7 linked regions of the Ovis aries genome follow. The protein of the gene in region 6 purifies or fractionates together with the protein of the main gene of each other region. This does not show direct contact. Links are inferred from orthologs where the notes say so. Each region holds a gene or a part of one and is shown on either strand. Other genes may lie near its edges.

Evidence for each region.
Region 1: the proteins of AKT1 (region 6) and ARRB2 purify together in Homo sapiens (affinity purification with western blotting; 4 studies listed by BioGRID and IntAct, with this or other methods). This does not show direct contact. The link is inferred for Ovis aries from reciprocal best matches to the Homo sapiens genes AKT1 and ARRB2.
Region 2: the proteins of AKT1 (region 6) and CDC37 purify together in Homo sapiens (affinity purification with western blotting; 5 studies listed by BioGRID and IntAct, with this or other methods). This does not show direct contact. The link is inferred for Ovis aries from reciprocal best matches to the Homo sapiens genes AKT1 and CDC37.
Region 3: the proteins of AKT1 (region 6) and TUBB purify together in Homo sapiens (affinity purification with mass spectrometry, with the first as the bait; 3 studies listed by BioGRID). This does not show direct contact. The link is inferred for Ovis aries from reciprocal best matches to the Homo sapiens genes AKT1 and TUBB.
Region 4: the proteins of AKT1 (region 6) and CHUK purify together in Homo sapiens (affinity purification with western blotting; 5 studies listed by BioGRID). This does not show direct contact. The link is inferred for Ovis aries from reciprocal best matches to the Homo sapiens genes AKT1 and CHUK.
Region 5: the proteins of AKT1 (region 6) and ILK purify together in Homo sapiens (affinity purification with western blotting; 3 studies listed by BioGRID). This does not show direct contact. The link is inferred for Ovis aries from reciprocal best matches to the Homo sapiens genes AKT1 and ILK.
Region 7: the proteins of AKT1 (region 6) and APPL1 purify together in Homo sapiens (affinity purification with western blotting; 3 studies listed by BioGRID, with this or other methods). This does not show direct contact. The link is inferred for Ovis aries from reciprocal best matches to the Homo sapiens genes AKT1 and APPL1.

Annotation. Positions count from the first base shown.
Region 1 is NC_056064.1:26,521,472-26,525,771, forward strand, and holds the start of ARRB2 (beta-arrestin-2), read right to left. Parts: upstream 2,801-4,300; 5' UTR 2,714-2,800; coding exon 2,691-2,713; exon of another isoform or gene 705-2,690; intron 1-704. UniProt on the Homo sapiens protein: Functions in regulating agonist-mediated G-protein coupled receptor (GPCR) signaling by mediating both receptor desensitization and resensitization processes.
Region 2 is NC_056058.1:12,781,883-12,786,384, forward strand, and holds part of CDC37 (hsp90 co-chaperone Cdc37), read right to left. Parts: intron 4,010-4,502; coding exon 3,728-4,009; intron 3,381-3,727; coding exon 3,272-3,380; intron 3,167-3,271; coding exon 3,051-3,166; intron 2,708-3,050; coding exon 2,585-2,707; intron 1,988-2,584; coding exon 1,805-1,987; intron 1,715-1,804; coding exon 1,451-1,714; 3' UTR 1-1,450. UniProt on the Homo sapiens protein: Co-chaperone that binds to numerous kinases and promotes their interaction with the Hsp90 complex, resulting in stabilization and promotion of their activity. Inhibits HSP90AA1 ATPase activity.
Region 3 is NC_056073.1:27,415,246-27,420,284, forward strand, and holds the start of TUBB (tubulin beta chain), read right to left. Parts: upstream 3,398-5,039; 5' UTR 3,231-3,397; coding exon 3,174-3,230; intron 1,800-3,173; coding exon 1,691-1,799; intron 1,435-1,690; coding exon 1,324-1,434; intron 1,044-1,323; coding exon 1-1,043. UniProt on the Homo sapiens protein: Tubulin is the major constituent of microtubules, a cylinder consisting of laterally associated linear protofilaments composed of alpha- and beta-tubulin heterodimers.
Region 4 is NC_056075.1:20,875,421-20,879,691, reverse strand, and holds the end of CHUK (inhibitor of nuclear factor kappa-B kinase subunit alpha), read left to right. Parts: exon of another isoform or gene 1-1,079; intron 1,080-1,133; coding exon 1,134-1,233; intron 1,234-1,978; coding exon 1,979-2,008; 3' UTR 2,009-3,170; downstream 3,171-4,271.
Region 5 is NC_056068.1:46,197,210-46,200,554, forward strand, and holds the end of ILK (integrin-linked protein kinase), read right to left. Parts: intron 3,279-3,345; coding exon 3,182-3,278; intron 3,089-3,181; coding exon 3,005-3,088; intron 2,906-3,004; coding exon 2,820-2,905; intron 2,702-2,819; coding exon 2,592-2,701; intron 2,483-2,591; coding exon 2,355-2,482; intron 2,260-2,354; coding exon 2,138-2,259; intron 2,075-2,137; exon of another isoform or gene 2,043-2,074; coding exon 1,943-2,042; intron 1,836-1,942; coding exon 1,705-1,835; intron 1,536-1,704; coding exon 1,386-1,535; 3' UTR 1,123-1,385; downstream 1-1,122. Other genes in the region: TAF10 (transcription initiation factor TFIID subunit 10), read left to right, coding at 1-4, 143-297, 534-598, 687-801, 985-1,074. UniProt on the Homo sapiens protein: Scaffold protein which mediates protein-protein interactions during a range of cellular events including focal adhesion assembly, cell adhesion and cell migration.
Region 6 is NC_056071.1:66,959,331-66,962,594, forward strand, and holds the end of AKT1 (RAC-alpha serine/threonine-protein kinase), read right to left. Parts: intron 2,322-3,264; coding exon 2,219-2,321; intron 1,853-2,218; coding exon 1,773-1,852; 3' UTR 896-1,772; downstream 1-895. UniProt on the Homo sapiens protein: AKT1 is one of 3 closely related serine/threonine-protein kinases (AKT1, AKT2 and AKT3) called the AKT kinase, and which regulate many processes including metabolism, proliferation, cell survival, growth and angiogenesis.
Region 7 is NC_056072.1:43,971,927-43,977,162, forward strand, and holds the start of APPL1 (DCC-interacting protein 13-alpha), read right to left. Parts: upstream 3,316-5,236; 5' UTR 3,181-3,315; coding exon 3,127-3,180; intron 1-3,126. Other genes in the region: HESX1 (homeobox expressed in ES cells 1), read left to right, coding at 4,711-4,745. UniProt on the Homo sapiens protein: Multifunctional adapter protein that binds to various membrane receptors, nuclear factors and signaling proteins to regulate many processes, such as cell proliferation, immune response, endosomal trafficking and cell metabolism.

The sequences.
Region 1 (4,300 bases), on a different chromosome or scaffold from region 6:
CACAAGAGCTGGAATACTGGAAAGAGCAGTGGCTCTAAATTGGTTTCTATTATGGGAGGTTTCTAAGTGTGACCCTACTCTCCATTAACCTCCAACTGTCCCTGTCTCTGATCTCAGCAGCTTAAAATGTTATTTGTCTTTCAAGGCCCAGCTCAGATGTCACCTCCTTTAGAAAGTAGATCCAGCCCCACTCTAGTCACTCCCTTTTTTGGGGTTTCTGTCACACCTTGTTTATGCTTTACCTGTAGTGTGATAGGGCTTCCCAAGTGGTGCTAGTGGTCAAGAACCCGCCTGCCAATGCAGGAGATGTAAGAGACAAGGGTTCGATCCCTGGGCCGGGAAGATCCCCTGGAGGAGGGCATGGCAACCCATTCCAGTATTCTTGCCTGGAGAATCCCATGGACAGAGGAGCCAGGTGGGCTGCAGTCCATGGGGTCACAAAGAACTGGACTTAGCACACATGTAGTGTGATAATGTGCAGTTAGCTGTGTATCATGTATTTCACTAGACTGTGAGCAACAGAGGCCTTACTGATTCAGGCATCCCCAGCATAGTTGCAGCCATAAGCCAGACGCCGTGATGCTTCCTAACATTTATGGGTGTATGGTTCATGCCCTGTAGTGTGCCAAGTGTTTCAGGTGTGTGACTGCATTTAATGCTCTCAGCAACCCAGTGATGGAGGTCCTAATATTCCTATTTTACAGGTGAGGAAACTGAAGCCCAGGAGAGGTCAAGTATTTTGCCTGAGGTCACGGAGAGTGTAAATGGTGGAATTCGGGTACAGAGGTACTCTGGCTCTTCATCACTAAATGATTGTACTATCCTGCCTCTGTTCTTGGCATTATGTTTGTTGGAGTGAAGGAGATTCCGCTTTCTGGTTGCTGAAATGGTCTAAGCCTGGACTCCACCCACTGCTGGGAGGATAGGGAGATGTCTGGCAACCCCTGTGCCCTGGCCACTTGTGGGCCTGTTCTTTGCTGCCCCACCTTACTCCTACCAATCCACTCTGCCTCAGCAGTGATACCCAGGAAGGGTCCCCAGGTAGTAGAAACTGAAATCCTGCCACCTGGCCCATCCACTGTAACAAAGTCACATGCCCCTTCTTCCCAGAAGGCCAAGCTATCCAAAGACCACAAGGCATAGGGTACAGAGGCCCCCAGGTACCCCCATCGAGGAAAGGAGGGCAGACACTGGTATGGTGGGAACTAGGATAAGCACCCTATCTCTTGTCCCCACCTGGGGGCTGACTGCTGTGGCAGCCTTCAGCTCTCCCTCCCCTTTGCTTCTGGTTTTCCTCTCTGTCCCAGTGTTTCTTCCTATTAGGAGTCCTTGGCAGAGGGTTGGGACAGCCACAGTCTGTTGGACAACTGGAGTGTGGTTCTGGAGTAATTGCCCTGAAGCAGCTGCAGGGCACCTGCCCTTTGGATCCTAACCCAGCCAGCCTCCTGCCTGCTAGGGAGGAGCAAGCATGTGTATAGTGAGGCTGGCCAAGAAGGCGGAGTTTTGGGGTGACCTGAGAGGTGCCGAGTGGGTGAGGGGGCAGCAGAAGCAGATGCCCCTTCACACTTCCTGCTATTCTCTCCATTTCCTGTGGCCCAGAATTTGATGGAGGTGGGAGGAATTGTGCCAAGTCAGCAGTCCCTGTGTGGTCCATCCGTCCCCCTCCCTGAACCACATAACGGAAATCTGGGGCCTCCCTCAAGTCAGCGACTTCCCCTTTTGCTGTGTTTAACCCCTAATCCAGGACACCAGTCCTCCTTCTGATCACCTCTCCAGTATCAATCGACTGGGTGTTCGGGAACCTGTGATTTCCTATTCTATGGGTGGGGAGCTGTGGGGCTGGTAAAATGTTTTGCAGAACAAGTGACAGCTCAGAACCAGGCCCCCATTCCTGATCCTCTCTGGAGAGAAGCAAATAGCCCTAATCTTTTCCCTCTTTTGCTCCTGCTCCCCAGAGACTCAGGCATTCACCCCCGGAGGTGTTGGGTCACAACAGGAAGTGGATTTTGCTAGAGACCAAAAAAGAGAACTCGGGGTGTCAGTGGAAGGAAGGAGCCTCGATTGCACAGAAAACATCCGGGGAGTGGATGGCGTGCCCTGGGCAGATACAGCCTCCCCTCACTCACGGGAAGAGGGATAAGGCCCAGAATTGGGGAGGGTCGTCAAGCACTCTTTGCTCCCCCAAAATGAAGCTGTTGCTCCTAGCAACCCGGGGGAAAGCAGAAGTTTGGAAGCAGAGCCACCCGGCCCTTGGGGCCGGTGGGGGCAGTCTGACTGCCTGTGGGGTACTGGATAGGAGGCTTTCAAGTGGCTGGGCACGAGTCTTCGGGGGATCCCGCCCCTGGCATCTAGTCTGCCCACACCCGTCCCCTCCGGGCCGGCCACCTGCTCCTTCCTCCGCCCCTGCAACGCAGGCTGCACCGGAGAACCCAGTCGTCCGGCCCCCTACATCTCTGCGAGAAGCCCGATGCAGGTTTCTTGATCTTCAGCCCTCGCTTTCTGCAGGGACTGTGGCATGCCTTCCCCTCATTATCCTCGAGGACCTAGGCGTGCGGCCCCGAATGGCTGTCCCCTAGGGACCCAGGCGTCCGGCCCCCGAATTTTCTCCCTGGTGTTCCTGTCTGAGGACCGTCCCGGCACCCGCCCGGTGCCGCCGTCCACGTCCCGCCGAATGGCCCCACCTCTCTTACCTGGTCCCGGGTTTCTCCCCCATGGTGCGCGCGCCCGCCGCCCGCCCGGTTCGCGGATAGCTCACAGCCTCCTAGCCCGCTGCCAGGTCCCTGCTCCTCCCCGCGCCACTGCGCACGCGCGCCCCCGCGCTCTCTCCACTACCCCCGCCTCTCCTTCCCCCCTCCCAACTTGGATCTGGAGAACGGAGTCCAGATGCGTCAGCCGGATTGCGCGCGCCACGGCACTGCCCTCCCTCTCCTTACAGGCACGCGCGGTGATTGGCTCCGCCCGCCCCCTCCGCCCTCCACCCCGACCCCTGCGGAGGGATCCCTCCCCGCGCGCGGTCTCTACACCCTGCTACTCCCGCCCATCTCTCCGCCCCTCCGCACCCGTTTAGGAACTAACTGGGCCCCCTCAAAAGGAGGCGCCCGCCTTCCAGGAGATTAAAGCATTCTGATTGGCTCCCTGCATCAAGCACCCTGCAGGGGTTTCCTCCCCTTTGTTTGCTTTCTCAGTGGCGTTGGAGGCTACGGGGGTGGTGGGGGCAGTGGGTGAGCTCGAACACAGTCTAGGAAGGAGGATAAGGGGATGCACAGGTGGTGAGCGGTTCCAGTTGCGAGATGCTCGCCTATTGCGCGCCGCTCACCCCGGAGCCTGTAGCCGTCTTTGGCCCTCCCTCCCACTTCTTTATTGTGGTGTGTCAGCTCCCTCTGGTGTCTCTCTTTGATCTTCGCAGGGTTACTTCTAAATTCTCTTACTACTCTTCTCCATCCATTCATCGAAGTTAACATCCATTCATGCATACATCCGTCCATACATCTATCCATGTCTATTTTGTGCTAATCACTATACTAGGCAGTGGGAACTCAGACATGAATTAACATCACCCCTGCCTTCCTCGTATGGTTGAGGAGACATATGAAGAGATATTATGATTCCAGGAATGCTATAATAGAGGTATGACTCAGAAGACAAAGTGACTCCCAGAGCTTGGCTGGGGAGGGATGGAGGCAGAGCAGGCTGTCCAGAGGAGGGCACGTTTGAGGATAATCTTTCTGAAGTGTGGGCAGAAGTTAAGAAAGGGTATTCCAAAGACAGAGAAAAGCAAGGCACATCCTATAATGAGGTGTTTGTGGGAGTAGAGGGCAGGAGAGAGAAGGCTGAAGAGGATGACTGGAACAGGGTGTGAAGGATTTTGTATAGCAGGTAAAGGAATGAGGCTTCCCAGGTGATGGAGTGGTAAAGAATCCACTTACCAATGTAGGAGATGTGGGTTCGATCCCTGTGTCGGGAAGATCCCCTGGAGTAGGAAATGACAACCCACTCTGGTATTCTTGCCTGGAAAATCCCATGGACAGAGGAGCCTGGCAGGCTACAGTCCATGAGATCGTAAAAGACTCGGACATGACTGAGCAGGAGCAGCTCAGCAGCTAAAGAAATGAGCCAGGAGCCTCCCCTGGAGGAGGACACGTGGATCCAGTAGTGGATCTGCTCTTTAAGGCAAGGAGTGGAGTGGCATGATGAGACTTCTCCTTTAGGAAGACAATTCTGGGCAGTGTGGAGGGTGAAGGGAGTGGGGCACACTGTCATAGACTGAAACTAATCAAGGAGAGAAGATGAACAATAGAAT
Region 2 (4,502 bases), on a different chromosome or scaffold from region 6:
GGTGGCACCCCGTCCCCTGCGCATCCCCAAGCCCGCTTTCTGCTCTTTCTACGTCAGAGCTGTCTGGGAGGAGGGTAAACTGTAATCTTTGTCTGTAATCTGTGCTATCCAACATGGCAGCTACCAGACGTGGGTGCCTACTGAGTACTTCGAATGTGATTGGTGCAAGGCAAGGACAGTGCTTGAAATTTTACTTCATTTATTTTTTAATACATTTATTTGGCTGAGCTGAGTCTTAGTTGTGGCATGTGGGATCCAGTTCCCTTACCAGGAATCAAACCTGGGCTCCCTGTACCGGGAGCGTGGAGTCTTAGCCACTGGATCACCAGAGAAGTCCCTGAATTTTACGTAACTTTAATTCAAAGTTAACTTCCCAGGTGGAACTAGTGGTAAAGAAGTGAAGCGAAAGCTGCTCAGTCATATGTGACTCTTTGCCACCCCATGGACTATATAATCCATGGAATTCTCCAGGCCAGAATACCAGAGCGGGTAGCCGTTCCCTTCTCCAGGGGATTTTCCCAGCCCAGGAATGGAACCCAGGTCTCCTGCACTGCAGGCAGATTCTTTACTGTCTGAGCCACCTGGGAATCCAAGTGGTCAAGAACCTGCCTGCCAATGCAGAAGACATCAGACACCGGTTCAACTCACAGGTCGGAAAGATCCCCTGGAGGAGGAAATGGCAACCCACTCCAGTATTATTCCCTGGAGGATCCCATGAACAGAGGAGCTTGGCAGGCTACAGTCCATGGGGTCACAGAGTCAGACGTGACTGAAGCAACTTAGCACAAACAACTCAAATTTTAAAAGTGTAGGTCTAGAACAAGGGTCAGCAAACTTAAAAAAATAAAAATAAAAAGCCAGACAGCAAATATTTTTGGCTTGAAGGTCCTGTAGCCCCTGTCAAAACCTCTCATTCTATCACACCTCAATATGGCTGCAGCACAAAATCAGCTACAGACAAGATGAAAATAACCCAGCCTGGCTGCTGCGGTTCCAGCAAAATTTTATTTACAGACAGGCAGTGAACCTTTGAGCCAGACTCTCTGAAGACCCTTGGTCTACATGCTTATCCCCATAGAAGCTTTTAGAAACCCTGAGCTGGTCTAGAAACTAGATCCATTTTACAGAAGGGAACCAGTGTGGCCAACCAGTGAGCTAAGCAGCAGGAAGCGGCTTAAACAGAGGTTCGTTAAGACTCAGGGTACTTATCCACCAGCGCTGTTATTGCTCCAAAGAGCTGAGGTTTGCCAGCGCGAACCACATACTTGGCCCTGCTTACGGATTTTGTGAGTTAATATGTTTTTTGAGAGAGACTGGTTTGATGGGGTAACTGAGACTGTGGAGCGGACCGCTCCGAGTTGCTGGCAAAGGTAGTGTCAGCTGGGTGAGCTCATAAACAGCCCACAGGGACAGGGACACTCAATCTAGATGCTGGGCACATAGCAGCTGCTCAACAAAAGTGAGAGAGCGTGGGGCATGAAGCCTGGCTGTCTTGTGTGCCGGCCACATGGTGACAAAACCTCCCTGGCTCTTTTGAGAAGCCCAGGAGGGGTACTGCCAGCAGCAACGTGGTCAGCAGGGCTGGAGGAGGTGGGGGAGACACACTGCCTGACCAGGTGGGCTTGGGTGTGTGGTTACTCACGGTGGGGTCCATCTTGCTGATGGCGTCTTGGAGCATCTGCACATCCTTTGCGTCAAAGCATTTCTGAAGTTCCTGTGGGTGCAGGGGGCGGGGTCAGGGCCTGGGTCCCAGGGATCCTGCTGACAGCCCACCTGCCACCTGCCAGGGTCTGGGGAGCCTCACCTCAGGAAGGGACTCGTAGACCTCGACAGGGTCCAGGCCGCCGGGGCCAAGCCGCTTCTTGCGCTCCTCTTCCTCGTATTCCTTCATGGCCTTCTCAATGCGCAGCTTGGCACGGCCCCGCACGCGGTCTTTGAAAGCCTCCAGCTCGTCATTGAAGCCCTCCATGTACTGGCGGTCGGCAGTCTGCAGGGGAGGGACTGTGTTCACCAGGGGAGACTTGGGAGCCCAGGACCCTCCCAGTGCAGGTCCTCAGGGCGCCCAAGGGCTCCCCACAGCTGGTCCTGAACTAAATCACAGGTACTCTGAGGCTCAGGCCTCTCCTCTGCTCTGTCTAGCCTCCTCTGTCTTCTCTGAGCTCAGCCTTATACCCCTGTACTTACAATCATCTGACTGAATGTCCCCTTATACTGCAGACTCGTGGCACCCACCTCCTCCACATCCTCCTGTGGAGTCTCGAAGGCACCTCAAACTCAACACAGCTGCCCTTAATCATCCTCCGGTCTGCCCTGAATCTCCCCTAGCTCTGCTCTCCAGGTGTTCAGGTAAGAAACCCACAGGCGCTCATGACTCCGGCCCTCACCTAGGTTGGGATTTTCAGCACGTGCTGCCAGCTTAGCTTTCCAAATCTCCACTGGAGCCACCCACTACCCAGCTCCTCCACGGACTAATCCTCTGCTGATGGATGAGATTCTGATCACAGAGGCTTGAGTCCGAGTGGATCCGTGTCTGCCTCCCCCAGTGGCCCGCAGGCTGGATCCCTGAGGAGGACCACCTCCCTACCTTGATCTTGGTGAAGAACTGCCGGAAGCAGGCACGGGGGTCCACCTTGAGGCTCTTGGCCAGCTCCAGGATGAACTGCATGACGATGGTCTGGTGAGCCACCTGCTCCATGAGGGCACATTTCTGCCAAGGGAGGACAGCGTCACCAAGTGGCAGGCTCCTGTCCCCAGCCCCCACTGTGTGAAAACACAACTTGCACTTAAATCTTATCCGTGGCTTACTTGGACGCTGGTCTTAATATTTAACTTCAATGTAAAATTAACGCCCTTTTCCCCCTAAGAGATAATGGTATGGCTTCCTATATTAGACTCCAGACAGTGTTTAAAAATACATTCTTTTTCCCTTCATGCCTACTGTAATTTTCTGAACAAACATGAATGATGAAGAGAATTTTAAAAATATGAGAAAAAAAAGGCAGAGCCTTTTGGGCCCTCCCAACCCCCCACTCAGCACTGTCTGCACACACCTCCTCCACCTCTAGGTCAATGCACCAGATGACCAGGTAGTTGGCTGTCTCCTCGCACACCAGGTGGACGTTGTCTGACAGGTACTTCTGGCTGTCGTCCCAGCGGCGCAGCATGCCTGCCAGAAGGTGATGGTGAGGTGCTCCAGCCCCCCCGGACGCAGAGGGCCAGCCCTCCCTCACGCGCACCACCCACCTGGAGCCCACGCCTGGGCCCAACTCACCGAAGTGTTTGATCTGTTTCTCATACTTTTCCACGAAGGTTTTGTGTTTCTGCTCCCTCACCTCTTCCGACTCCTCCTCTGCCTGCTCAGGCTTGGTGTTGACCATGCTCTGTGGTGAGGCGAGAAGGGGAGTGGGCTGGGGCGAGGCTGCGGCCGCGGGGCGCCTCGAACGTGGCCGGGCCGGCCGCGGCCGCAACGCCCATCCCATCCACAGCGGAGGCGGTGACGGTGCCGTGCACATCAGTGTGGCGTGGGCGTGGCAGGTGTGGCCTCGGACTGGGGCCTTCGGGCAGATCAGAGGGAGGGGTACTGGTGGAGTGCCTCACCGGCCAGGCCCCCCACCTGCTCTCTTCCCCTCCGGCACTACCCCCCTTTCCACCAGCATCCATCCATTCCTGGACCTGCGCAGTGCTCCCTGCCCCTGCCCGCTGCCCGTCAGGCCCAGGCCTCGCCAACCTTGCTGAAGCCATCCTTGCTGAGCGTGTCCACGTTCCAGGGCATGCTCTTCTCCTTCTTGCGCATCTCCTCCAGCTTTTGCTCCCAGCTCCGCTCCTCCTTGCGCAGCTGCTGCGCCTCAGCCTGCAGCCGCTCCAGCTCGGCCTTGCCGCCCTCGCCCTCGGCCACCTCCAGCTCCTTCAGCTTCCGCTGGCACTCGGCCACCTTGCGCTTGCACTCGCGGCAGCCCCTGTCCAGTTCCTCCTTCTCTTTCTGGAACTGCTCCATGCGCTCCACCCGGGCCTGAGGGTTGGGCATGGCCCGTCACTCTGGGGAAGAGCTTAGCCCTGTCCCCGGCCCCGGGCTCTCTAGTCGCACCTGGGATAACCCCAGAGAAGGTCCACACTGACCTCCACGCACTGGATGCCCGGCTCCCGCTCTCACCCCTAAGGTAGGCTTGAGCCAGGGCGGGTGCCTTCTCTGCACTGAAGCTTCTATGGCTGCCGTCCCCAGAGGTCCAGTGAATAAGAATTCGCCTTCCAACTCAGGGGAAAGTGGTTTGATCCCTAGTTGGGGAACTAAGATCCTAGTTGGGGCAACTAAGCCAGGGTCACAACTAAAGAGCCTGTGTACTGCAATACACAGAATCAAAGATCTTGCGGCACAAAGATCTTGTGTGCCACAACTAAGACTCAATGCAGCCAAGTATATATATAAATGTTAAAAAAAAAAAAAAAGAACCTTCTATGACTCCTACCTCACTCGGAGCAAAAGCCTAAGTCCTCCCCGGAGCCCA
Region 3 (5,039 bases), on a different chromosome or scaffold from region 6:
GGCCTCCTCACCGAAATCCTCTTCCTCTTCTGCGGTGGCATCCTGGTACTGCTGGTACTCGGAGACGAGGTCGTTCATATTGCTCTCAGCCTCGGTGAACTCCATCTCGTCCATGCCCTCACCTGTGTACCAGTGGAGGAAGGCCTTCCGGCGGAACATGGCCGTGAACTGCTCTGAGATACGCTTGAACAGCTCCTGGATGGCTGTGCTGTTGCCAATGAAGGTGACTGCCATCTTGAGACCACGGGGTGGGATGTCGCAAACAGCTGTCTTGACGTTGTTGGGGATCCATTCCACGAAGTAGCTGCTGTTCTTGTTCTGCACGTTGAGCATCTGCTCATCTACCTCCTTCATGGACATCCGCCCACGGAACACAGCAGCCACGGTGAGGTACCGGCCATGGCGGGGGTCACAGGCAGCCATCATGTTCTTGGCATCGAAGACCTGCTGGGTGAGCTCAGGGACAGTGAGGGCTCGATACTGCTGGCTGCCACGGCTGGTTAGAGGGGCAAAGCCAGGCATGAAGAAGTGGAGGCGTGGGAAGGGCACCATGTTGACGGCCAGCTTGCGGAGGTCAGCGTTGAGCTGGCCAGGGAAGCGGAGGCAAGTGGTGACTCCACTCATGGTGGCCGAGACGAGGTGGTTCAGGTCTCCGTAGGTTGGTGTGGTCAGCTTGAGGGTGCGGAAACATATGTCGTAAAGGGCCTCGTTGTCAATGCAGTAGGTTTCATCAGTGTTCTCCACCAGCTGATGGACGGAGAGGGTGGCATTGTAGGGCTCAACCACAGTGTCGGACACTTTGGGTGAGGGCACCACGCTGAAGGTGTTCATGATTCGGTCAGGATACTCTTCACGGATCTTGCTAATGAGCAAGGTGCCCATTCCGGAGCCAGTACCCCCACCCAGTGAGTGGGTCAGCTGGAAGCCCTGCAGGCAGTCACAGCTCTCGGCCTCCTTCCGAACCACATCCAGGACCGAGTCAACCAGCTCGGCTCCCTCTGTATAGTGGCCCTTGGCCCAGTTGTTGCCTGCCCCGGACTGACCTGTGATGGGGTTAAAAGGCAAACTTGTTCAGTCAAGTTTGAAAGATACACAACCCCATTTCTACCTTTCAACTTTTGGATTAAGGCCAGTGGATTTATCTTCCTTCTTACTCCCCGATGATACATCTGCCCCTATATAATTTGCTATCTAAATTACTACCACCACTCTCCATTAGATTTAAAAACACAAGTCTGTATAAACTCAAGTACAATCATTTCTAACTCTCACTGCACCCAAATAACTCGATTAGCACTATCTATTGATATTTCCCTAACTCACCAAAAACAAAGTTGTCTGGTCTGAAGATCTGACCAAAAGGACCTGAGCGAACAGAGTCCATGGTTCCGGGTTCTAGATCCACCAAGATAGCACGAGGGACATATTTGCCACCTAGAAGAAATAAAGTAGAAGAGTGAAAACTGGAAGACATAGAGATAAATAAATTGGGGCCAAGAGAGCCGGGGACCCATATGTGTGATTTCAGACACTGCCACCAGGTGGCAGCAGAGACACTGGGAAAAGCGAGAAAGGTCTCCAGTGAGTGTAGATAGATTCATTCAAAGGGGGTAAAAGGTGTCCCGGGGAGGCAGAGACCCCAAAGAAGTGGGAGAGATGGGACCCCTGCTTCCCGGGCTCTTGCCCTCACCTGTGGCTTCATTGTAGTACACGGAGATGCGGTCCAGTTGTAGGTCGCTGTCCCCATGATAGGTGCCGGTGGGGTCGATGCCATGTTCATCACTGATTACCTCCCAGAACTGCCAGGGAAGAGCAAAGAGTCTTCAGCATCTCAGGGTGCAGCCAATTATGCTCCCCTACTGCCATTTTAGCTCCAGATTCGCCTGTGGCGGGCCCTCCCCAAAGATCTAGCATTTCTTCTGCCTGCCACACCCTTCCCCTAGCCACATGCACCTTCGGGGAAAAGGCAGCTTTCACTGCCTGGGACGTGAGATGCTGTGTGGCTTAAAGGGTCCGGGGATTGCGCGGGGTGGGTAGATGGAGGTAGTCACCCTGGGCACAAAGAGACGGGGCGGGGAGGGGTGCAAAGAAAAGGAGGCACTGCAGCAGCCCACCCCGCCCTGCACGTGACCGCGGCGCACGCACGCGCCAGGCGGCCGACAAAGGGAGGTGCCGCGCGAGGGCGGGGCCGAAGGGCGAATTCCGCGCGCCAGGGGCGGGGCTTGGCTCGGGCTCGCGCGCCCCCCGCCGGCCAGCCTGGCCGCATTGTCCCAGCGCGCCAGGGGCGCCCGGGTCCCGCCCTTCTGCTACAACGTAGCAGCCGCACTTCCTCCCTGCCCCTCCCCCGCTACACTGTAACCGCGCGCAAAAAAAAAAAAAACCCTCCCCCTTGGCCTCGAAATTTCATTTCTTTGCTAGCTTTTAACCCCCTTGCTTTAAATGAGGTTTTTCTTCCTTTGTCCTATTCTCTAGCTCTGAGGAACCCCTTCAAAGAATGGACTCCCTTTCCTTCCTCGCCCTTTCTCCCTATCTGTCCACGCCCTTAAGAGTCTGTTAAGGGGAAATAAAAGGAACAAATTAGTCTAGCACATATTAGCCTTCCATGCACGAAAAACTGCGGGACCGCCCCTTGGGGATCGCGAGCGCCCGGAGATTCCTGATCATTTGTAAAGGATATCGCCCAGCCCACCTGGCTCAGCGCGCCCCTACATTTGGATCTGACCTCTCGGCAGCTGCCCGCCATCCTCGCCCCTTCCCCCCTCTGGGTTAGCCCCACGAAGCCCCGCCAAGGGGGATGCACATGGGGAAAACCTCATCCAGCTTTTGTCTCGGGCCGTTTCCGCATCTCCCTCGCTCCCCGGTCCTCGGACCGTTAGGAGATCCCCTTTCTAAGTAAAATTTTACAGAAACTCGGTTTTCCCGCCCCCTAACCCTGAAGGGTGCTTTTAACAGCTTCCCCAAAATAAGCCTGCCAAGAAAAATAATTCCTCATTTTTCAAAAGCAAATCCTAAGGTTCAAAGGTGCATTTATATATAAAAGTTTTGAGGGGCAAATCTGGACTAAGAATGGAAGATGCAAACGTTCTACAACCATCCGTCATAATATACCTGTTTGGATTTGTTTTTTTTTTCCTTAAAAATAAATACAGTCAAAAGAGGTTAAAAATCCTTACCTTGGCACCGATCTGATTGCCACACTGACCGGCCTGGATGTGCACGATTTCCCTCATTGTTAAAATTTATTCTAATCTTTTTGCTCGCCTCAAAGTATGTACGGGGCAAAAAAATAATACGGAATTAGTTTTTCTCTGCTGCTGGTCGCAGGGTGAAAAGATGGAACGGGACCCGGAGGCTGAAGCAGCGAGGTCCGAACGCGGCGGCAGGAAGGTTCTGAGAGGGAGAAAGGAGAGGGGAGGGCGCGGGAGGAAAGGCGGGCAGGGCGGGGCGCGCGTGCGCGGGGGCCGGGAGGCGGGAGAACTCTCCGCGCGCCGCGGTGGAGAGACAAAGCCTCACTAGGCTGGCCCTGATTAGTCCGTGCCGGTCCTGTATCACAAGTCCATTGGTCCTTGCTGGACGAGCGCAGTCCTGCCTGGGAGTTGTAGTTCTCTATTGTTGTCCACGCTGCAAAATGAAAGGACGAATGGGTGGGTACTGGGTCTGGGGGTTTTGGTTTAGGTGTTTTGACTGAAAAACGGCCTGGCGCTAGGGTTCCTTCCTCTATGCCTGACTCTTCTGGTATCAAAAGAGAGTAGTTTTAGCAGGGTACAGGAATTGGGAACCCTGGTGTGCCAGGCTTTGGAAGGTGGAGTGAGGGCACGCCCTGAAAGCTCCCCGCTGCGGTAGCTCTTGGGAAGACAGGACTGCTTAGCTCAGCGAAAACGGGGAGAAATGCGGCACCCTGATCTGCTATCTAACAGCTGGTCCCTGGTGACCCAACTGGCATGAACTCCAGTGAGCTCCGGCTCCCCCAGATATCTCGGGAAGGAGGAGGGCATTGCCTTCCTGCTATTTCCTTGGGAGCTTTCTAACGATAATATTTAGAAAGAAACAAAATTGCATCAAGGACTTTTCAGTATAAAAAGTAATTGTTTGGAAGGTATGTTCAAGAATAGAGAAGCAGATATGCCGGAAGTCTCCGTCCATGTGGGGAATCTGCGCCTTAGAGCAGCGTTTAACACAGTTTTGTCAAGAGGCGAACTGTGGGGTGAGATACCTGATAGGCACTTTGATGAAGTCAGTGTTTTTTCAACTCGCTGATTTCACTGAGAGGTGGTTGACCATTGCAATCTTTCAAGAACCTCGGGATTAAAATAAAAGTAGGGAGGGTGATGGGAAAAAAATGGATGAGCTCAAATCTGAGTGGCATGTTTCTTCTCAGGGATTAATTCAACTTGAGCGATATTAAATGTCCACCAAAGGAGCTAGGATGAAGGATTAGCTCACTGGTGGCTCAGGCGGTAAAGCGTCTGCCTACAATGTGGGAGACCCGGGTTCGATCCTTGGGTTGGGAAGATCCTCTGGAGAAGGAAATGGCAACCCACTCCAGTACTCTTGCCTGGAAAATCCCATGGACGGAGGAGCCTGGTAGGCTACAATCTATGGGGTCGCAAAGAGGACACGACTGAGCGACTTCACCTTCACCTTACCTCACTGTCCTCCAGGATCTTGCAATTTGGTGAGAAGTGTATAACCACTAGTGTGGTAAGCACCATGATTAAAGGACATGGGATATCAGGCTCCGTATGTGCTCAGTCATGTACGACTCTTTGCGACCCCATGGACTGCAGCCCGCCTGGCTCCTCTGTCCATGGGATTTCCCAGGCAAGAATACTGGAGCTGGTTGCCATTTCCTTCTCCGCGGAATCTTTCCGACCCAGGGATCGAACTCGTTTCTCCTGCGTCTCCTGAATTGGCAAGAGAGCTGTTTACCTATGAGGCACTTGGTTAGATGATAGCAAGGTGTTAATTCACACTGGATTCAACACACATTTCTCATCTTCTAAATAAAAGAACATAAATTTCTGTAAAACTCGTCTACC
Region 4 (4,271 bases), on a different chromosome or scaffold from region 6:
TCTTAAAGAAAGCAAGTTCTAGGGTATATTTTAGGGTCATTATACATTTGGCCCAATGTAATACATCCACAGCTAGAGCATAGACTATAATTAGTTATATGGACTTTAGGAAATATTTCATTAATCAGAATTGATACAAATAAACTTTAATATCTTTTTGCTTTCATTAGAGACACTTGGGTTTATTAGAGAATGCAAATGGTTGCAAATGTTACCTCTATACAAGTGATTTTCAGTGTGAGGTTATGATTGTTTGCAAAAATATATTCACCAGGAATTTAAAAATATATTTTCCAAAAGGAAAACTGGTTTCAGTAATAATATACCTGTGGTACTTAACCACCAAGGACTGGGGACTGTTGACCTCAATTTTTCTATCTGTTGAATAAGCTGAATGAGAATTTAGTTCTAAGCTAACAGTGACCATCTTCCATGGCCTGGAATTGGTTCTACTGGGGTAGGGACTGAGGGTTAGTAAAAGGTAAGGATGGAGGCCATATGGAAGAGGAAAGTATAGAAGATAGAAATCAGATTCAGGATTGTCTTCAAATTTCCAAGGATACTTCTTTGTTCTTTGCAGCTCCCCGTCATAGTTTTCTTCTGCTGTCGTCAGGAATCAGCTTGCTTTTCTTTTTCATTGCTGTTATCTATATTTTCCACAGTTTTTTTCACCTTCCCTAATCTTTGCAGAAAAGATAGCTTATCTTTTCTGTCTCTTCCCCTACATTTGTGTCTCAGAAGTAAGCATGCTGATGTTTTTACTACTTGTAAGGAAAAGGAAATGTTCCAGAAACAAAAAGAGATCTTTCATCTGGCTGTGCCACAGGATCTCTTTTTCCCCGAGTGAGCATTTTCAGGGGGGAAAAGTTGTATATAAGTGCTACTTATATTTCAGAGGAAAATCAGATTGGCGTTATAGTGGACTCCTTATCATTAGAGCTGGGCAGAGGCAGCAGCCTGGAGTAACAAACAGGACTCTGCCTCTGGGTGGGAGGGATGAGCAAACTGAAGACAACAGGAATCAGCTGTGTTGGGTTGCTGGGTTGTGGTGTTGTAGCAAGAGCAGTATCATCCTGACCCTGAAAATCAGAAAGTAGAGGAAATTCATATGCCCTTTTGCTTTCATTCGACAGGGAGACTTTAGCACAAATGATAGAAGAAAATTTGAACTGTCTTGGCCATTTAAGCACTATTATTCATGAAGCAAATGAAAAACAGGGCAACAGTATGATGGTAAGTTTTATATGAATATGGATGTGTGTTTTAAGTGTGTTGGGTGCAAAGGGCTTAACTTTCCATGCTGGACTTATCTGGTGTTTGGGATTCAGTTGGGGAATAGAACTCAGAGCAAACAGCATTTGAGGAATGCTTAACCTCAACTCCCCATCTTCTCTTACTCATGGATATACTAGGATTATACCATCAGTAATCTTTAATAGCATTTTTGGTCAAGTTAAATGATTGGTGAGCTTTCTTTGCAGTGTGACCACTGAAATCAAATGGTCTGTACTTTTTTGCTTCTGCAGTCAGTTTTCCCCAGTAAGATGGGGCATAATTTGTACTGTACTTCAAATATAGTAACTGTTGTGTGCAAAATGAATAATGTTAATATGGTTATTAACAGAAGTGTTTTTATGAAGATTTGATTGCTATGAATTACTGATTTGTTAAAACTTGGCGAAACTACAATAAAATATTTACTGAATTAACTTTTACTATGTTTAGTCTTGATATTAATTCTTTGTTTATTCCTCTTTCATTATTTGCTTCAAATATCTGAAAACTCTTTGAAAATTTTTTTTTGTTAGTAGAAATTAAGGTAAACTAGACTCTTTAATTGTAACTTATTTGTATTTTTGGTTTTTCAACTTTTGATTATAAAATCTCCAAATAAACAGAAAACTTGCAAAAATGAACACCCATATACCTACTGCTTAGAGTCAACATCTAATGGTAACTTTTTCATGCCTGGTTTTAGAGTCTTGATTGGAGTTGGTTAACAGAATGACTTGCCACTTAGTGACTCTCCTGAAACCTATGAAGTTGTTGCTGCACATGTTAGACATTTGTTTTTCTCCTATGAAGCCATTCTTCAAATACCAGTCAATGGAAGAAATGACTATGATCAGAAACTCCACATGATTTTACAGCATAATATTTTGATTCTGGGTAATTTTAACTTCTGAACAGATAGAATTTTATGAGTCGGTGGACTTAAATCCATTTGTCTTCAAACTTGGTAAAACATTACTTATTTAACTGATTCTTTCAACATTTAACTTTTGGGCATAAGGCCAAAATAATGTATACAGAGAAGAAAATCTCAACATGTATTCTAAGTAAAAAGTGTTTGCCTATGTTTCTGTGGAAGAGACTGCTTGTGTTGTACTTGTGTTGCACTTAACAGTGCTCTTCCCAGCCTCATAAGAGAGTTTAATCCCATTTTCCATTTTACTGTACATTTGATTGTATCCCTTTCCTATGAAAGGGATTGTGCATTTGTGCCTTTAATACCAATTGATTCTTCCAAATGTTAAGTGTGCTATATGTATATGTATTTAAGATGTACATTTAATAATATCAAAGAGAAGATACCTGTTAATTTATAATGTATTTGAAAGCTTATCTGTTTTCATTTGTAAAAATGGGTCTTTTCAGGAATCTTTCATGTCTTGTCATACAAATTTATAAAGATCTGCATTCTTTATCTATAATTCCAAAATCCAAAAATCTTTGAAAACAAGATTTTTCATAAAATTGATGACAAAATTCATCTGCTTGCACATCCAACAAGAATTGACAGTGAGTCTACTTATCCCATTTAGTGTGAATATTCTTTTCTTTTGCTGCAGAAATATTACTGTATTTGATTATTAGGGGGAAGGGTGCTGGCACAGACCCTGCCTGAGGTTTATGTAGTATGGTATATGCACTGAATTACCTTTCTAAAATCTGAAAATTTCATAATTCTGAAGCATCTGTCCCCAAGGGTTTCAAGACTAGATTGGGTTGCCTTCAAGATGGTATGGCCGCAGACAGGGTTTCAGATAAAGGATTGTGGATCTATTGTCTATTAAATAATTTAGAAGGTATTACTTGTTTTAAAAATGTGAAATGCTTTTGTATTCTAGACAGTTTTTCACTTTGTATATTAAACAATTTTTAAATTACTTTCTGAATCTCTATTCATTAAAACCAGACTGTAGCAGAATAATTGAATATGCTTTGAGAAAATGTGAAGGTTCCATGAAGCAAAGTTGGAGCACAGAGTAACATAACAGGCTTTTAGTGTACTTAGGAATGAAACAGACTTACGGTAAAGGCAGTATTGGGTAGCTTCTTTAATATAGTCTTTTCTCCTGAGATGGCCTGTCATCACTATCTGTTTCTAAAAACTATGCTTATACCATGTCCTAAAAACTGCTGTCTTAGTTACACCATCCCCATTTTTGCTAATAGTGTCATTTTTCCAGTCATCTCAGTTTGAGACCTTGGGATTGTCTTCGCCTAACTTTTTAGTCAACTGCTACTACTGTTTCTCTGAATATGGACATTCTGGCTACCAGCCATTAAAACTGGCTGTCTCTCTCTTGCTTCTTCCAGTTCTAGAAGGTTTTAATCAGTAAACATTTATTGGGTGCCTGTTGCTTGGAAGAAACTGAGCAAAATGGGAAGATCAGAAAAATTAACACAGGCAGTACAATAAGAGTGTTTATTTGGAATGAAATTATTGTTAAAGGCTTTTTGAAATGAGCATTTTCTAAATATCATTATAATAACTGATAAAAGACCTGGTATAGGGTGGGACTATTTTTATGGTTTGTGGCTGATACCACCTCAGGAGAGCCTGATCTGTATGATATAGGCAAGTGGTATGAGTCAGAACAGCCTATTACAGTGAGATCACCTCAGATATGCTTTTGATACATGAGTTGACCACTCTATTTGTTATTTGTTGACAGTTTTCAGAGTTGAATTTCAATTGTGGATTATATCTATTTCATTCAAGCAATACTATGAAAAACTAAAATAATTCATCCAGAAAACAGAAGTAAACGAGTTATTTTTCATTCGTTTTGCTTTTTGTAGGTCAAAATAGCTAAGCTCTGCAACAAACATTTATCTAGTACAGACAAGGTCCCATATATTCTTAGGTGTAAAAGTCAAAGGGATGATCCAGGTAAGTGCATTTATTGAAGGGAAAAGGTAAAGTTGTTTGGGAGGGCTTGCTTTAATGAAGATTTGAATTGATTCTATTACCTCTTTCCATT
Region 5 (3,345 bases), on a different chromosome or scaffold from region 6:
GCGGGTGAGGGCCGGGACGGGTGAGGGCGAGGGCCGCGCTTTGGGCTGGGCCCAGCGGCGGGTGAGGGCAGAGGGTAAGACACACCTAGCGGAACCCTCGAGCCTCCCACCTCCGTGTCTCAGTTTGCTGGTTTTCCTCCAGCTCCAGTGACGACCGGCGGCGCGGCGCCCCCGGAGGGGGCCATGTCTAACGGGGTTTACGTGCTGCCAAGCGCGGCCAACGGAGAGGTGAAGCCAGTGGTGTCCAGCACGCCTCTAGTGGACTTCCTGATGCAGCTGGAGGATTACACGCCTACGGTGGGCTTCCTGCCTGAACAAGGCTAATGACTCGCTGTCACGCCAACTTCTGCCACACCATCTGGATTTGCAGCATCCTCTTGTGTTTCTCTTCCTAGCTTTTGTGATTTTTCCCTTCTGCCCACCCAAACTGGGAGCTTCCTGATAGCCAGGCCTGCCCTCCATTTCCCTTACCCCGACTCTCAGCCCCGCTGTACACAGGGCTAACGCTTACAGTCGTCTAATTGATTTCTCAGATCCCTGATGCAGTGACTGGTTACTACCTGAACCGTGCTGGCTTTGAGGCCTCCGACCCACGCATGTGAGTAAACTCTGGGCAGGTTAGAGTGTTGGGTGTTTGTGTGGAGTTTATTGTCTATGCTCTTCTCATACCATTTTTTTCTCTCCAGAATTCGGCTCATCTCCCTAGCTGCCCAGAAATTCATCTCAGATATTGCCAACGATGCCCTACAGCACTGCAAAATGAAGGGCACAGCCTCTGGCAGCTCCCGAAGCAAGAGCAAGGTGTGAGGGGAGGCTCATTGATTCAGTAATTACTTCCTACAGCAGCAGAGGCTTAAATTATCCTGAAACCCCTTTGAGGGAAATTAAGCCTTAGGGGAGGTGAAAGACCTACTCAGGGTCACCTGCCTGGGATTGAAATCTGGAATTCCTGTGTTCAGCTGGTGCTCTTCCCTCTTCCCTCAGGACCGCAAGTACACTCTAACCATGGAGGACTTGACCCCTGCCCTCAGCGAGTATGGCATCAATGTGAAGAAGCCGCACTACTTCACCTGAGCCACCCAGTCTAAATGTACTTGTCTGTTCTCTTGTCCCCACACCAGCCTGTTTTCATAATAAACTTTATTGTGACAGGCAGGGCTGATCCCTCCCATGCTGGGAGACACCGTGTGGCAAGTGACAAAGCTTTGAGCCCATTCCCTTTTGGGGCCACAGTGGTAGGGATGGGGGCAGGGGATGGGCCCCATGGCTGGGGTAGTACCATGACTAGTGGCAGGGGAGGCAACCAGAGGCCTACTGCTTTGGGGAGGTGCACTCCCCTAACCGTGTCCTGACACCTCTGGAGTTCAGATAAGGACTTTCCAGCTCTACTTGTCCTGCATCTTCTCCAGGATAGGCACGATCATGTCAAACTTGGGCCGCTTAGCAGGGTCTTCATTCATGCAGATCTTCATGAGTTTACAAACGTGGGGGGAAATGCCTGGTGGGATGGTAGGCCGAAGGCCTTCCAATGCCACCTGCAAACACAAGGAAAAACAAGGTGAGTCTCAGAACTTGAGTCTCATGTCGGGAGAGACGTCTAGCCCTCAGGACAGGATTCTGTGTATTTGAATCAATGTGGCAGGAGCCCAGCCCCACTACAATTATTGTCACTACCACCACAAGTATATCCAGTTATGCTCTCACCTTCATTCCAATTTCCATGTTGGAGAGGTCAGCAAAGGGTACCTCCCGTGTCACCAGTTCCCACAGAAGCACTGCAAAACTCCACATATCTGCTGAGCGTCTGTTTGTGTCTTCAGGCTTCTTTTGCAGAGCTAGAGGGATAGGACTTATCTGTTCCAGCTGCTTGTCCTGTCTGTGTTCCCTTCCATTACTACTGAGCTGCCCCTTCTCTGCCTCACATCATAATGCCATCACTCACCTTCAGGAGCCACCCAGGCAGGTGCATACATGCGCCCGGGGCACTGGAAGGAGAACTTGACGTCGGCCATACTGATTCGAGCAGTCATGTCCTCATCAATCTGAGGAAGAGAAGATAGTTGTGTGGAAGGAGGTAAGTCCTATTCTAGGGAAAGGACCTCTGGGGCTTGGGCCGGGAGTGAAGTTGTGATCTCACCATTACACTACGGCTGTTGAGTGCATGTCGTGGGATGAGGGGCTCTAGTGTGTGTAGGAAGGCCATGCCCCTTGCCATGTCCAATGCAAACTTCACAGCCTGGCTCTGGTCCACAACGAAATCTAAGTGAGAAGGCAAGAGTTAAATCATTTGGAGAGGCTCACAGACTTTCCTTCCCCACACCCTGCTGCAGTGAGATTTGGCACTCCCTACTCACTGGTGCCTTCATGTAGCACATTGTACAGGGATCCGTATGGCATCCAGTGTGTGATGAGGGTCGGGTGAGGAGCAGGTGGAGACTGACAGGCACCAAGCACTGGGAGCACATTGGGATGTGAGAAAATCCTGGAAGAGGGAGAGAATGCCCCTGGCTGAGATCCAGCATAAAAGATCTCCCTCTGGGTGCTGACAGGGCTCCTTGAAATCAAGGCTTCCAGTTTAGGCCTTGCCCCACCTGAGCCGGGGACACTCCTCATTGAAGTCCCTGCTCTTCCTTGTACTCCAGTCTCGAACCTTTAGCATCTTCACGACAATGTCATTGCCCTGCCAGCGGCCCTTCCATAGCTGAGGGACAGATAAGGGTTAGAAGGCTTTAACTAAGGCCACTGTTTTCTTGCCCACTAACTGGAGGAGAGACTTAAAACAGGTGCACAACAGGTAATAGGGTGGGGTGGGGAGTTACCTCTCCAGAGTGATTCTCGTTGAGCTTCGCCAGGAAGTTGAGCTGTTTGAAGTCAATGCCGGAGTGTTTGTTCAGAGTCCCATTTCCTGAGAGTGTGGGCAGGTCAGGCACCCAGCTTCCCTCTTTCCCAGCCCCAGGAGTCCAGGACTATTCTCTCACCACCCCTCCCCTCACAGCTGACTCACGGGGCCGAGTGCGGGTAGTCCCCTTCCAGAATGTGTCCTTGTATGGAATACGGTTCAGATTCTGGCCCATCTTCTCTGCCCGCTCTGGGGAAGAAAGACAAAGTCTTGACCTCAGCTGTTGTGTGGAAAGAGACAGGCTAGGACAAGACGAGGACACAGCGGTGGGTGGGGACAGACCTCGGAGCAGCTCTCTCAGGGGTGCCTTGGCTTTGTCCACAGGCATCTCTCCATACTTGTTACAGATGCTGACAAGGGCCCCATTCGCCACAAGGTCCTGGAATTAAGAGATGGCTGTGATGAGGGCATTCCCAACTAAGCATGAGTGCAGATGCAGTACAAAC
Region 6 (3,264 bases):
GGCACCGTGGTGGCCCCAGCTCTGCTTTGAGGCGCCTCCGTACCATTATCCACGGGCCGTGCCATGGTGCGCTCCCACCGACAGTGCACAGGCTTCCAGTCTGAAGCCGCCTGTGTGTTTCTGAAATGGGTCTAGAGCACGCTCAGCAGGCAGCATTTGGCGTGTCTGGTCTCCAAGAGAGCTGCTGTATACTAGAGTGAACTGGGCGGCTCCAGAGGCACCCCCAGGCCTGGACAGACCTCCAGCACCCCACACTGCTCAGGCACCCCGTCCAGCAGAAGCGGGCAGCCACCCCACTCCAAGGAATGCCTTGTCAGGGTCCCCTGCCCCGGAGCCTGGAGAAGAGACGGCGGAGTCCACTAGAGGGGAGGGCAAGGCCCCGCCCCTCCCTGCAGGTGCTGATGGCCCGCCCGGAGGCCGGCGCTGCGCGGCAACGTCTCTCTGCACCCACCAGGTGGCGCCCGAGGCCCATCCCGCTGGGCCCCTCCCAGCTGTCCCGGGCTTGCTGCGTGACCCCTGGCAGGCTGCCCTCTGGTCCTCTCAGGTCCCAGGGCCTGCCGGTGGCTGGAGTGTCTGTCCTAGCCAGCAGTGGGCCCTGCAGGGTCCCGGTCCATCCTGGTGGTCAGGCCTGCTGCATGGATGGTGCTGCTGGGCAGACAGCTGTGCAGCCTGGGTGGCCTGCTTAAGGTGTGGGGCTGGGGTGAAGCCGTGGGCACAGGGGCAGCCAGGGCGTTCCCTCCGACTCCCCAGCGAATCCTGCCAGAGGCGGGTGAGGGACCCCATCTCAGGTTGTCCCCGGGCTTCCAGGCAGGCCGCCTCGGGCTCCGGAAGGCCACGTGTGCCCTGTCGGGAGGTCAGCCACATGCACCTCCATCCGCCACCCAGCAAGGCGAGCCAGAGTTGAAAAGCAATTTTTATTGAAGAATTTGGAGGGAAAGTTTCATAATAGTAAAAATACTAAAGTTGAGTATAAAAAAACGCCTTGGTGCAGCGCAGCGTCTGGCCAGGAGGCACACAGGGCACAGCGATGGCCCCTGCATAGGGCGCCGGGCAGCGCCCGGGCGACAGCGGGAGTGAAGCTTCTAGAAGGACACGTGCTACCGGGGGAGCCATCGGGGAGCCGGTCCCAGTGGGAAAGGGGCGCAGGGAGGGCTTTCTCCTGAGATCAGAAACCCCAGTACACACAGACAGCGACAGGTGGCACCCGACCCCTCTATCTCACCGCAGCCCTGGCCCAGCCTGATCGTGGGGGCCGCCCTCCTGCAGCCTCTGCTCAGCCCCTTCCCGAGCGAGGGGGCTGGGCCAGCACCCCACAGCCAGATGGCCTCTGGGGCTGTGGGGTCGGGGGAGGTGGGGGCAGCTGGGGACAGCTGGCCGGACGGACGGACAGAGGGGCCACGGGCAGGGCCCACGGGGACCGGTGAGCCCGTGGCTGCAGAAGTCCTTGCTTTCCTACAGGAATCTAATCGTTCCAAAGGCGGAGGCAGCGTCTGGAGAACTGGATGAATAAATTAAGAGAAACCGCAGGACGTCTTCCTCCCGAGCTGGCTGGCCAGGGGCACTCTGCCCCCAGTGCGGGCGGCCCTGCCCATGGCATGGGGCGCCTCCCCATCCGTGTTAGCGGACGGCGTGGTTCCACCCAAACGCATCCAGAAATAAAAAAACATTAAATACAGATCCTCCGTGCAAGGCTTCCTCCCAGTCCTCGGGACGCGTCGTCCGGAGCACGTGGCTGCCCGCGGCGGTGTCCTGAGCTCGGCCCAGCAGGCCCCTCAGGCCGTGCCGCTGGCCGAGTAGGAAAACTGGGGGAAGTGCGGCCTCCGCTCGCTGTCCTCCCCCTCCATGCCGTCGTCTGCGGACAGGAGGGGCGGCTCAGCTCCCAGGCACTGCGGAGACCGGGGCAGGCCCCGAGGGCTCCCCCCCAGACTCCACAGCAAGCTTCAGCGACCCCCGCCCCCACAATGCTGGGACCAGGGGACTGCGGCCCTGGCGCCCACCCTGCAGAGGGCAAGTGGAAAGGGAAGTCGCTCAGTCGTGTCTGACTTAGCGACGCCATGGACTGCAGCCCGCCAGGCTTCTCCGTCCATGGGATTTTCCAGCCAAGAGTACTGGAGTAGGGTGCCAGTGCCTTCTCCCCTAACAGGAGAGGGAGCCGCCCAGTAAAATGCTGAACAGAATTCTGTTGTCTTGAGGGGTCGGCGGGGAGGGCCACCCTCACCTTGGTCAGGTGGCGTAATGGTGATCATCTGGGCTGTGAACTCCTCATCAAAATACCTGGTGTCCGTCTCAGACGTGACCTGAGGCTTGAAGGGCGGGCTGAGCTGCAGGAGGCGGGGGGTGGGTTACGGGCCTTGCTCCCACTGCCCGGCACACCTGGACCCAGACACGGCTCCCCACCCAGAAGACAAGCCTGTGGCCAGGCCTTCCCCTGCCTGGGTGCCCTAGGGGACCTCGCCATTCAGGGACCCACCTGCAGGGCTGCCCACCTCACTCTCGGCCCTGGGCATCAGTGGCCAGGCAGCGTCAGGCTGCAGAGGACCCACCATGACCCAGGACTCGAGGGCAGCTTTAAAGGGCCAGACTCATGGGAGGAAGCAAGGACCCCCATGTGCTCCACCCTGGCCCAGGGTCAGGTCTGCCTGGGAACTAGCAGCAACTAGCAGGCTGGGTCTTGGGTCAGGGCTGGCACCAGAGCCCTCAAAAGGCAGGGCCAGGAGGCAGCAGGCCCTGGGGCAGGGCCCTGGCTGGAGAAGGGCAGAATCGGGGAGCCCCGTCTCAGGGACAGAGGTCCAGCTGGCTGCGTGTAGCCTGCAGAGGAGGGGTGCGCTGACAACAGGGTGGAAGCGGGCTTGAGGAGAGACACCTAGCAAGCCTAGGGACCACCTTCCTGGGTCTGTCAGCCACGCTGCCAGCACGGGCCAGGGCCTGGAGCTTGTGGGTCCCACAGAGGGCCAAAAGCACAGAACCACATGTGCAGGAAGCATGCTGCCTCAGTCCTCGAAAGCCTCTTCACATGTACGGGGCGCGAGCAGGCGGGGGTGCGAGCTGGTGGGGGCGTGAGCTGGTGGGGGTGTGAGATGTGAGTGGGGGTGAGCAGGCGGGGGTGTGAGCAGGTGTGAGAGGTATGAGCAGGTGTTGGTGTGAGATGTGAGTGGGGGTGAGCAGGTGTGAGAGGTGTGAGCAGGTGTTGGTATGAGATGTGAGTGGGGGTGAGCAGGCAGGGGTCAGGTGTGAGCAGGTGTTGGTGTGAGATGTGCAGGGGTG
Region 7 (5,236 bases), on a different chromosome or scaffold from region 6:
ACCCTGCTTATTTAACTTATATGCAGAGTACATCAAGGGAAACACTGGGCTAGATGAAGCACAAGCTGGAATCAAGATTGCTGGGAGAAATATCAATAACCTCAGATACGCAGATGACACCACCCTTATGGCAGAAAGTGAAGAAGAACTAAAGAGCCTCTTTTTTTTTTTTTTCTAAAGAGCCTCTTGATGAAAGTGAAAGAGGAGAGTGAAAAAGTTGGCTTAAAGCTCAACATTCAGAAAACTAAGATCATGGCATCTGGTCCCATCACTTCATGACAAATAGATGGGGAAACAGTGGAAAACTTTATTTTGGGGGGCTCCAAAATCACTGCAGATGGTGACTTCAGCCATGAAATTAAAAGACGCTTACTCCTTGGAAGGAAAGTTATGACCAATCTAGACAGCATATTCAAAAGCAGAGACATTACTTTGCCAACAAGGCTACGGTTTTTCCAGTGTCATGTATAGATGTGAGAGTTGGACTATAAAGAAAACTGAGCGCCGAAGAACTGATGGTTTTGAACTGTGGTGTTGGAGAAGACTCTTGAGAGTCCCTTGGACTGCAAGGAAATCCAACCAGTCCATCCTAAAGGAGGTCAGTCCTGGGTGTTCATTGGAAGGATCGATGTTGAAGCTGAAACTCCAATACTTTGGCCACCTGATGTGAAGAGCTGACTCACTTGAAAAGATCCTGATGCTGGGAAAGATTGAAAGCGGGAGGAGAAGGGGATGACAGAAGATGAGATGGTTGGATGGCATCACTGACTCAATAGACAGGAATATGAGTAAACTCTGGGAGTTGGCAATGGGCAGGGAGGCCTGGCATGCTGTAGTCCATGGGGTCGTAAAGAGTTGGACATGACTGAGCGACTGACCTGAACTGATGCTAGATAAACAGTCTAGAGAAGAACAAAAATTTATATCCCAAAGCATTAATCTGAGCTCTCTATATAAACTACAAAAGTACAACAGGACAACCATATTAAGCCAGTCAAGGAAACACACGACCTTTGAGTTGTTTATTCAGTATGTGATAATGTGTGAAGATACTTAAGTTATCATGTGTAGTTAGAGCCAAATAAAAATCATTATACACAATATAATCTCAATCACATTAAAAGGTGTAAGAGAAAGGAAAAAAACCCACAAAAAAGAAAGCAAAGCATTAACAGAGTTTACTCCCGAGTGCTGGACAGGTAATTGTGCTTTCTGTACCTTTAATTTTTCTGAAGCAAACAACTATTATTTTTATAATCAAGTACAAAGACTAAAATTTCACTATCTATAACAGCTGAAATTTAGAGAGTTAAGTGACTTGCCATAAAGTAGAAGGTACCAACTGGCAGTAAAGACTATATCCTAAATCCCAAATCCAGGGCTTTCATTCTTGCCACAAGTTTTCTCCTAGAATCGCTTCCCAGTGTTTTCCCTTTCTAAATCCCAGTTGTCCCAATTAACTTTCCCAAATAAATATTAACTAGTTCAGATTTATTACTTCTAGAAATTGAAAGACTATCAATGTGGCTCTTTCATTAAAAATTAATACTAATATGGCACATGCTTGTAAAAAACAGAAAAAAAATACAAAAACCTAATGCTCAAGTTGTAAACTTACTGTGTGAAAAAATCAAGAAATTAGATAAGTTAACATTATACCCTCCTCATAAGTCATGGCTAAGGGCACTGTGAAACCCATTCTGGGCAGTCTTTATGAGCAGCTATAAAAGCCAGGCCAGGGAAGAGAAGAAAGGTAAGGCAGCCTGTTGAGTCTTATAAAAAAGTAAAACGACAAAGTGTACCTGACCAATGCATCCCACAAAATTTTTGCTAAACATCTGAAACAAATGTAGCTTATAACTTTATACTACGGAAGTCATTAAATATTTGAACTGGCTATTATTCTGGCAGTCAAAATAAGCCAAGTCGGTCTCTCTTTGTGTCAGTATAGGCTGATAAGAGTACATTACCAGCAGGGATCGGGCCTGTGAAGATAACTTTCAGCGTAAAAAAAAGCCCAATCAATTCTACAATCAGAGCCCAACTCCAACCTGGCAGTCAAAACTAGCACCATATCCATGGCAGACAAGTCATACAGGAAAGTGGGATCTAGCCTCTCCCTCCTGTTCTTCTGGAGTCATTTAAACCATTAAGACACAGGAAATATCTGCAACTGTAGTTCTAAATGAACATTTCAGAAAACTGTCTTCATTCTAAGTGGTAGCCCAAGAGCAACTTCGTCTCGAATCCCTTATTGTGTAAGAAGACAGGCCCAGGGATGAAGTTTCTCAGCCCAAGTTTCAGCCCCTACTAGCATGTTTTTTTTTTAACATAGCTGATTTCATTCTTCAGCACTGAAAACATAAGTCCCTGTTACGTCTTCCTATCTTAAGGAAGAGACTATCTTAAGCTAGAGCAACCACACCAGCATCATCCCCAATGCACAAAACATGGGGCTTTTATTTTGATGAGTTTACTAGAGCCAAGTCTGCAACCCGGGCGCAGCAGTCGTGGAGCCGCAAAGGCGCCGTCCACCTCTCGGCATGCACGGCCCGAGTGACAGCGGCTGCACTCAGGGTCACGACGCTCGGCCGGGAGGCTCCGGGATCCGTGACGGGCTTCGCCGACGGCTTTCCGCGCGGGCTAATCAACAGACTTTCAGTATTTTTCCCTCAAAATTGTCCATTTCCTTCCCTAGCTTGATCAGAAATCATTAAGTCTACAGGGTCGTTTTTCCTCCTGCATTTCCTCCGAAGAGGTTTTCGAAAAGAAAATTCCAGGATCTGGATTTATCACCTCACATCACGGCAATTAAAAAGCATCTTTTGTCAAATACCAGGGAGCCCCGGGCGCGTAGCGACCGCCGGGCCCATCAGCCACGGCGGCGGCGGTTTGGTCGCCGCCCGCCGACTCCCAGACCCCGAGCGCGGCTCTCGGCCCAGCGACGCAGGCCCACGCGGGCCTCGGGAGGGCGGCCCGGCCTCGGCAGCTCCGGGCGCCGCCCGCGACCGGCAGGGATACTGGGGGGCGGCGCCCACCTGGGCCAGGGCGGGCACCTGCGGCCGCGGCGGGGCCAGGCCTGGAATCTGCCAGCCCCGCTCCTTCCCTCGCCTCCCGCCGCCTAACCTGTGGGCTGTCCTCCAGCGTCTCCTCGATGGGCAGCTTGTCGATCCCCGGCATCGTGGCAAACGGAGGGCGGCGGCAAGAGACGAGGCGGCCGCCCACAGCTCCCCGCACCCGCCCGCCTGCAGCAGCTGACCCCGACCCGCCCTCTCTCGCTGGCTCCACCGCCCTCGCCGGGCGCCGAGCGGCCGCGCGATGGCGCGGGAAATCCCGCCCCGCCGGCCTGCCTGCTCCGCCTCCCTGCCCGCTCATTGGCTCACGACGACGCCCGTCAGCGCAGCGGGGCTAGCCCGGAGGTTCCTTCGCTGCTCCCGGCTCCGCTGAGATGCAGGGACTTGGAGGAGGCGAAGGCGGCTGAGGCGGCCTTCTTTGCGCACCTCGACACCTACCCTTCGCGAGCGATTGGCTATAAATCGTAGGGGACCGTCTTACCTCAGCAAAGCGTGCGTCTCCTGGAACCAGAGCTTCGAGTGAGGACCGTTCTGGGGAAATTGGGGCTGTTTTACTTCTCCCTCAACGTTTTTCGTCAGAGACCACGAAAGAGGCCTCTCTGCAGGCGCCTTTAGTTTCCAAAGATTATAACCTTCTCAACTGCCCGCAGTGTCCAGTCTCCCCTCTCCAGCAAAATGGTGCTGGCTAACTCAGATATCTGCGAGATTAGCTGTGTTGTTAACTTGGCTTTCTGGTAAATTCGTGGATAGTAGACTCGAAAAGAATTTTTTCTGAGCACTTGGGTATCAATATATGCATTGAAAAACCCGACTTTGCTGCCAATTCATCAGTTCTTAGCTGTCCTTGAGAGACTGACATGCCGCAATTCAGACTTCCATATTTCTTATTAATCATAAGTGAAAATATCTTTTTAAAGTCAGGGTACACTGATTTATTATGTTAGTAACTGATTTTAGCATTTCTGTTAAAGTTTTGGAAGAATATTTAAATAGCTTCTTCAGCATCTAACTTTTTTTTAATAAGAGAGATAAGGTGAGCTGTACTTCTAGAACTTGATCTGGATTAGAACTCCTGCCTCTTTTGTCCATCTTTGTGTCCAGATTCTTCATGGAAGAATCTTTATACAGAGAAAATGGCAGAATTACTAGTGTCTTGTAAATACCTAGCCATTAATCCCACTAGTCCATCCCATTTTCATTCAAGAAATATAAGAAATGCCGAATAAAGACTATTAGTTGCCCAGTTCCACAGATAAATTGGAATGAATCCAGGTACGGTGGAACAAATCCAAATACAGTAACTGGAATGGAAGTTACTTTAAAATACGAGATTTTCCCAGAATCTCTTAAAGGAAAAATCAAATTTAAAAAGTTTTCCCAAGTAGACTTGCAATGTAGTTTCATGGGATTATTCATAGCTTTCAATAACTTTGAGTAAGGGCTCTCCCCTTAAATTGTTTATCAGCGAGTCACTCTGTATATGAGATCTTTAGTTTCTGAAAGGTAGTTTGGAGTCAGTTCCTACAGTGTTACTGGTTGCCAGCTGCTTGAAAGTACCTGGCATCGGCATGGTACAGATCTCAGCAGCACAACTCTGGCCTTGGACATTTCTTGTCTACTCTATCAGCACAGTGGCATGCAACCTGACTCTGAATTAAGAAGACTTTCACAGTAAGTGACATTCTTGGTTGAACTGTGATTAGATTGTAAGTGAAGGAAAAGAAAGTTAGTGACAATTGATGAGAATCAGGAGTAAGTGACAAATGGAAAAAAAGTGTAAGAAAGAAGAGTAATTATACGGTGTAACTGAAGTTTGGCGTTTTGGCCAAGCTAAATAATTCCAATGAAAAATTATCTTAGGTATCTGAATTACCTGGGTGGGGTATTATCAAGTTAAATGGTTTCCTTTTTTGTATGTTCCATGCTTCTAAACTGTATTTTTGTAAAGGGTTCTCAAGAGGCTATTATATTATCAGAGAGGAGCAAGGAATTCTTCCTGGGTTCAACTGATTAAAAAACAAACAAAAACAAGTTGACTATTCAGTTGTGTGGAGAGGCAGTTCAGTCAAATTATAAAACTAGAAAGACTCTTAAAAGGCTTTCTACTTGGATTCTGTAGCTTTAAGCTATTATTCAGTCTGCTCATCCAGAAAAATAATTGT